2 linked regions of the Coturnix japonica genome follow. The protein of the gene in region 1 purifies or fractionates together with the protein of each later gene. This does not show direct contact. Links are inferred from orthologs where the notes say so. Each region holds a gene or a part of one and is shown on either strand. Other genes may lie near its edges.

Region 1 (4,140 bases):
CCTCCTCACGCCGCTTCTGCCATCGGCCGCATGGGGATTCCTCGAGGATCTCGGACTCGTCTTCACTCTCTTCCTCTTCCTCCTCCTCCTCCGGGGGCGCCGAGGAAGTCACGGGAGCAGACACCGAGGTCATCCCCGGTCCTGACGAAGCGGATTCCGGTTTCGGGTCGGAGCCGCCGCTCGGCGCCTGTTTGGCCTCGCCCTCTGACATGATGAGTCGAAGCACCTGCGGGAGGCAGGCCGAGCTCAAAGCAGGCCCTCATCCACCCAGCAGGCCCTCACCCACACACACAGCAGGCCTCGCTCAGAGCAGGCCCTCACCCACCCAGCAGGCCCTCACCCGCACACAGCCAGGCCCTCACCCACAGCCAGGCCCTCACCCACAGCCAGGCCTCGCTCACAGCAGGCCCTCACCCACATAGCAGGCCCTCACCCACCCAGCAGGCCCACACTCACAGCCGGGCCCTCACCCCCACACAGGCCCTCACACACAGCCAGGCCCAGGAGGCCGGAGCGGGCCGTACCAGCCGACTAAAGCCGCTCCCCCAACCTACAGCAGGTCCCCGATGCTGTCCCAGCTGTTGAAGGCCGCTATTGCCGCTATTCCCGAGCACGGGCCGCTCCTGCCGGGCCCAGCCGGCACCTCCCGGTCCCCGAACGCTCCGCCGACGGCCGCCCCAACCGCCGCGCTGCGTAACGCGCCGTCAGAGGCGGGGCCGACCGCTCGCCAGCCAATCAGAACGCGGACGCTTCCCTTCGTCCTGCTCTGATTGGTCGGTGGGAGGAGCTCGAGGTACGAGGCGCGATAGAGGGCGCCCGCGCACCTGTGTGGCAGGATGGGGCGGGAGCGGGGGGCTCGGCGGCCAATCAGAGCGCAGCAGCGGGATGCCGGCGTCCGCTGATTGGTCGGCAGCGGGGGCCTGGGGTATATAAGGCGGGGGAGAGAGTGCAGCGGGCAGAGGCCCTGTGGTGGGCCGTTAAGGCGAAGGAGTGGTTTTATTTGTGGAGTGATGTCGTGTGGGATCCCGTTAACGCTATAGTGTTATCTGTTTTCAGTTCTCAATGCACGTACAAACGAAGCACCGCCTCCGAGGGGCTGCTGCAGCCGGGCGGTGTGACGGCCGGCAGTCCCAGGGCTGCGGCCTATGGACCTCCGAGAGGCCTGAGTCCTCCGAGCCGGAGCGCTTCCCCGGCCGCGCCGCTCTAGGCGCCCCCCAACTCTATGCTCCTCACTTCCGGTCCCCGTGCCTCGGCCGCGCGGGTTGAGCTCCCCCCTCCCCCAACCTCCCCGTGGCGACTCTCTAGCCCTCACTTCCGGCCGCGCTACTTCCGCTGGGCGGCTCGTTGGTGGGTGGTTCCGCCGCCCTCGCCGCTTTGCCGCCCTCTCGTCTCCCCCATCAGGTGCCGCCCGTTCCGTTCCGCTCCGGCCTCCTCAGCGTCCGCCTCCCCCAGCCGCCCCTCAGCGCAAGGCCGCCGCGCCGAGGGCTGCCACCGCGGCGGCCTCCGCCATGGGCGCGTATCTCTCGCAGCCCAACACGGTGAAGAGCTCCGGGGATGGGGCCGGGCTCGGGCCGCGCCCGCTGCACTTCGGTTTTAGCGCTATGCAGGGTTGGCGCGTCTCCATGGAGGTAAGCGGGGTCCTCCCTCCATCCCATCCCCTTGTGCCACCCCCGGCCCTGTGCCGTTCTACGGGGGGACCCCGCCCGGTGGGAGCCCGGAGATAAGGGCTAAGGAGGGTTAGCAACTCTGTACCCAGGTCTAAAGCGATAGGACCGGAGGGAACGGCTTTAAACTGATAGAGGTTTGTGTGAGGTCTCTTGGAAGATCGTCATTCAGAGGGTATTAAGGCTCTGGCAGCGCTGCCCCATCGCTAGAGGTGTTAAGGGCCACGGGTGGGCACTGGGCTGGTGCTGCTTCTTTACTAGGAGAGTGGTTAGGCCCTGGAACGGGCTGCACAGGGAGGTTGTGGATGCCCTGTCCTTGGAGGTGTTCAAGGCCAGGTTGGACGGGGCCCTGGGCAACCTGATCTATGGGGTCTCTATGGGGATCTATGGGGTCTATGGGGATCTATGGGGTCTATGGGGTCTATGGGGATCTATGGGGTCTATGGGGTCTATGGGGTCTCCTGGGCAACCTGATCTAGTAAGGGTTTATGTTTGGTGGCCCTGCTAGGCAGGGGGCTTGGAACTACATGATCCTTGAGGTCCCTTCCAACCCGGGTCATTCTGTGTGACTCTGTGTGATGTAGTGGCTGGCAACCCAGCCTGCAGCAGCAGTTTACATCTACATGGTGTTTAAGGCTCCTTCCAACCCAGTGAGTGTAAGAACACCATTCACGTCCTGGTTAATTCTCCTTTACAGGCAGCTTGCAAACAAGGGGAGCTACAGAAGGACCAACACCGGGCCCTGCAGCTTCAGGGGTGCATCTCTGAATGTGGAGAAGCACCTTCTTGTTTGCAGCCCTTTGGATGGTCCATTCACAGCATGAGGGATTGGGTTCTGTCTGTATGATTCCACAAGTCACAGTGGGACACTAGATCGCTTCTGAAATGCTTTAGTGGTTTCATTGGTGGCAAAGCAATGACTGAGTTTGTCCTTCTTTCTGTGTGCACCAGAGCTTTCTGAAGCTGCAGGGCATGGTTTCTAGAGCAGATAGAGGCAGAAAGGAGAATTGGTGCCTGTGTTCCTAAGGTGAACTCGGTGTTTTTGTGCTCACTCGGCTGTGACCGATAGCATCTCCATTGTGTTGACCTTTGCCTGGGTGGGATGGTGGCATAACTGGAGCACTGGGGTGAAATCCAGCCATTAGCTTGTGGCAAAAGGCTGAATGTGGGCAGTGTTCTGCTGCACTGAGGCTGGAAACAAGGATGTGGGCTCGGATGGTTGATAACAGAGAGCCTATAACTAGGTGGCCACCATAGTCCTCCCACAGGTGGGCTCAGTTTGGCTGTTTTGAAGCCTGTTCTCACTGCTGTTGACCTTTCTGGAGATTGGATGAGAGCCAGAGCTCACAGCTGTGTGTTTTTTGTGCCCTAACCAACATCTTTGGCATATCTCCCCACTGGGAAAAGCAACGCTGAGGCCATCGGTGTGAACATAGTTCAGTTACGTTATCACAAGAAATGAGATGGGGGGAGTGCTGTGGTACAAACTGAACCTCCCAAGTGTTTGGTGGGGCTTTTTTGGGGTGGGTTTTTCCCCCTTTTTTCACATTTAATTGTACTTTTCCTTAAAGCTTGGAGAAAGTTCTGAGCAGAAAGTGTGTTCTTTTGCTTAATACCAAGGATCTTAGGCATGGTTTTGGTTAGTGAAGCTTAGCAGCACGTACGTAAGTAGTAGGAGGGGAGTAAACTCTTTGAAAGGGCTGACAATAGCAGGACACAGGGAAATGGTTTTAAGTTAAAAGAGGGAAGATTTAGGTTGGATGTTAGGGGGAAGTTCTTCACTAGGAGAGTGGTTAGGCCCTGGAACAGGCTGCCCAGGGAGGTTGTGGATGCCCCGTCCTTGGAGGTGTTCAAGGCCAGGTTGGATGGGGCCCTGGGCAACCTGGTGTAGTAAAGGTGTATGTTTGGTGGCCCTGCCAGGCAGGGGGGTTGGAACTACATGATCCTTGAGGTCCCTTCCAACCCAGGTCATTCTGTGATAGGAGAATACTGACCTTTCAAGTTCTGTTTGCTTCCTCAACAGTGCTGCCCCGGTTCAGGATCAGGACGTGTTGCAGTTGTACAAATGGAGTAGAAAGCTCATTTTTGCTGCCAGCTTTGGGTTTCCTCCCATTTGCGTTACTTGCTCTAATTAAGCTGCTGCTTAGTCACCAGGGACTTATCCCACTTACTTTATTGTGGTTTTGCTATCTCTCAGGCTTCTGTAAATGCAATGAGAAGTGAGGCTGAGAGCAGAACAGCTCCTCAGCTTGCACAGCTGTGCAGCAATCCAACGTGGCTGAGTGTATGTCTAGAACTGTTTGGGGCTGGCTGGCAGTGGAACCAGCTGACTTGGAGCAAGTGCTTTTCTTTTGGGGCATCTGGAGCACAGTGAGCTTCGAGGTGAAGAGCTTCAACCACAGCAAGGAGGCAAGATCACATGGTTTAAACAATCCCATGCATGTTTGGTTTGTTCACAGGGTGAAAGAGGTCACAC
Region 2 (3,648 bases), on another chromosome or scaffold:
TAAAAGCAAAAAGAAATCTTGTTTTCTCAGTATTGTACTATCATTTTATCAGATGGTTTGCTACATCTAAATAGAATTCTTCACAAAAAAACACATTTGATGTAACATTAAATAAATAATTTACTTCAGTAAATATTCTTGTCAGGAGGTCATAACATTCAGACAGTAAAGACAGTGATCTGAAAATGGATCTCTATACATTCTCCTATCTTAACAAATAATTTGGATTGAATTAAACAGGTTCATCTTCTTCCCTTGACAGAAACACCAAGGCTTCACATGTCACTGCCTTGTTCAAAGATAAACCATCTCTGTCCAGTTAAGATCAGAGTAAGCATAACTCTGTATTGCTTCAAACTCATCAGCATAGAGCACAAGGATTGTGTTTGTTTGTTTCATGTTGAGAACTCAGGTGTCACACAAATTAATTCTTGCAGGTCACTAAAGAGGTACTACTCAAATTGGTTTAAGCTCTACCAGCTTTTTAATACAGCAACACATTTTAGGAGCATGCACACACAATGCCTCAGTTCTTAACAGTTTTCCTTCCCTTATCAAAGAAACATTCTATTGTATCAGTGCCTAAAGGAGACTCATTTGAACACAATTTAAAATCAGTACTCCCAGATACATGCCTGAATTAAGTAACCAATACTTCTCTCTTTTTTTTTTTCCATGACAAGTTACCATTCCTTAAAGGATCACTGCTCCCCCTCATGGCTTAATGAGTTAAATGACTTCGAGAAGTCATTTAACATGGCTCAACAGTCTAGTAATAACAAAATAAGGGGTGGGTATCTGACACAACAGGCTTCTAAAATGTGATAAAACAAACAATATCCCTCTTCCCCTTTCCAAACAAACAAACAAAACCCCACTAAACCAACCAACCAACAACAAAATAACTCTGTACCTTTTTGGGTGGTAAAGAGAGGATATAGAACTGCTACACATTCTCCAAATAAGATTTTTTATGGATTAACTAAATTACAAAACCCAAATCACCTATTTTGGTTTTACAGAAAAAGTTAAAATTAAGGAAAATCCAGTTAACTATGTAGTTAGGTTATATCACTCAATACATTGAAATATTATATGAAGGCCTTCATATTGGGTTCAATTCTATTAAAAATGCACATAACTTTTAAAGAAGTGACAGTACAACCATCAGATCTCTTTCCACTTCCCAACACAAGTGGCTCAACAATACAATAATAGTAGACCTACTCTGAGATCTAAAATATCATACTGAGAAGCAGCATAAGCTATTTTCATTTATGTTAGTGAATCATTGAACTAGTAAGGTTGCCACATTATGCTAGTAGGAATATTTTAAAAAGCAACCTTAACATAAGATTAGCTCACTTAAGTAAATCCTGCAACTAAAAGAATGTTTACTTCATAAATGCTTGCTAGTACCACTGTGACTCCTCTAGCAACATTAATCAGAAAAGCCCAGGGAAATAAGTAAGATATGGATGAAAATACACCATTTCCATGCCAGGATGTGAAACAGCTCTTTGCTCAGCATTTTAAATCAAGACAATGCTAGAAGACAGCATATGACACTAAACCCATTCCTTTCTTGCCCTGGTCTCTGGCTGTGATCACCTACTTTCTCTTTACTTCCTTTACTCTGCACAAGCAGTAATAGTCAGGCCCTGACCTCTCTGTGCTAACAAAAGTATAAATGAACAGGTATTTTCATTCGTTATAAATGAACAGGTCTGTTTAGCCTTGAGAAAAGAAGGCTGAAAGGGGACTTGATCCAGGTTTATAAATACCTGAGGTGTGGGGGCCACAGTGGTGAGGCTGGTCTCTTTTCAGTAGTGCGTGGGGACAGGACTAGGGGTAATGGGATGAAACCACAGCATAGGAAGTTCCACATGATACAGTGAGGGTGACGGAGCACTAGAACAGGCTGCCCAGGGAGGTGGTGGAGTCTCCTTCTCTGGAGATATTCAAGACCCACCTGGACACCTACCTGTGCGACATGATGTAGGGAACCCGCTTTGGCAGGGGGGTTGGACTCAATGATCTCTAGTGGTCCCTTCCAACCCCTACAATTCTGTGATTCTGTATTCCCAAAACAAATTTTTATTGCATTGAAAGTACATATTAAGCCTAATATATGCCTCATCATTACAAGTTTAGTACATCTCTCTCCTTTTGTGCTGTCTTTTTTCTGAGAAAAAATCCTGTTTCCTGGTACTTTGATCTTGTCAAAGAAAATCCAACTTTTAACTGTAGTAAAATATGCGGCTGCTTTGTTGTATGTGCCATTCTTATTACTATAATAATTTGCAATCAAGTTACAGCCTGAAAAATGTACAGTGTTTTTTTTCAGCAAGAATAGAAGTTTAAAGTATTTGTAACAGCTGGAAATAAAGTGCTCTGTGAGACACAAAGCTCACAAAACAGGTACAAACTTACCACATAGACTGTACGACTATCCACATCCTTTGGTTGTTCACCCAGCGGCTGGCGTCTTCTAATCCTAGTTCCTTCTAAATCCAACTAGAATTTAACCAGAAAAAAAAAAAACAACACAGTCAGCAGGACTGACTACTTCAGTTCCACTATAACTACTAATCCAATTGCAGCAAAAGAGTGAAATATTGAACACCCACCTCTACAACAGATGAACTTTTAACTGCTCGTGCTATCAATTTTCCATCAGTAGTCAATTTTTTCATTTTGTTGAAAGAAACAAGCAGTGATATGTCAACATCTGAGAAGGAAAAATAAAAAATAAAAGGAGCACATGATGAAATCAACGCAATTTAGAAAGCCCTACTTGTGTGTAACAAACAGACATCAAGAATGAGCTAGAATTCCCATGAAAAGAATGTGGCAGTCATTACTCCAGCATGCAAACCCACACTGCAGACTGATGAGGATCTACAGAAAGTTGTCACCATCAGAATTCAAGCTTCAAGGAATCCTATATTTAACGTTTTGTGCTCATCTATCAAAGGAATTTCTGTCTTTTACCTTCCAAATGATAATTGTCCTTGAAAAGAAAGGAAGAAAAAAAGCCTTTGTGATGTACTTTTACAGTACAGAAATAATTTGCAGTGAAAACATGTTTCTCCTTGTGTTTAACCTAGCCTTTCCAACACAAAAGAGCCCCAGCTTTTACTTCAGCTGAGATGAGTCATGCTGATAACATCTGAACAGAAAATTATGCAGTACCAGTCTTAGTTAAAAAACTGTTCGAGACATCCAAACTTTAACACCCACAGAAAACATAAAGAATTTTCTTCTATACACTCTTTAAAAAACAACTTGGAAGTTCAATGCAATTGAGGACTCTGACAAGTGATATAGACTTCCCACACAACACTGATGGGCTAATGATTTATACTTCAAGTATGGAATCCTTAAGAAAACAAAGAACACACTTATGGAATCTGAAATGCATTATTTCTTTTGCTGGAAAAGGACTGTCTGTCTCTATAGATACAGCACAACTGATATAATCCATCTGGAGTAACACAATTGAGCAAATATACTGATAGATCATCTTAACCACAAATTTACTATTCTTAAAGCAAAAAGCATAATTGTTAGTGCAGCTAATGTGTAAACTAACTTCTGCTTCAGGATGAGCTGAGTAGTTCCAAAACCAAGCTCTATCTCCTAACC

Evidence for each region. Proteins that work in one complex are often made in the same cells at the same time.
Region 2: the proteins of PPM1G (region 1) and LARP7 purify together in Homo sapiens (affinity purification with mass spectrometry; 3 studies listed by BioGRID and IntAct, with this or other methods). This does not show direct contact. The link is inferred for Coturnix japonica from reciprocal best matches to the Homo sapiens genes PPM1G and LARP7.

Annotation. Positions count from the first base shown.
Region 1 is NC_029518.1:95,309,236-95,313,375, forward strand, and holds the start of PPM1G (protein phosphatase 1G), read left to right. Parts: upstream 1-1,310; 5' UTR 1,311-1,508; coding exon 1,509-1,628; intron 1,629-4,140. Other genes in the region: NRBP1 (nuclear receptor-binding protein), read right to left, coding at 2-211.
Region 2 is NC_029519.1:51,167,274-51,170,921, forward strand, and holds part of LARP7 (la-related protein 7), read right to left. Parts: intron 2,732-3,648; coding exon 2,631-2,731; intron 2,518-2,630; coding exon 2,434-2,517; intron 1-2,433. UniProt on the Homo sapiens protein: RNA-binding protein that specifically binds distinct small nuclear RNA (snRNAs) and regulates their processing and function.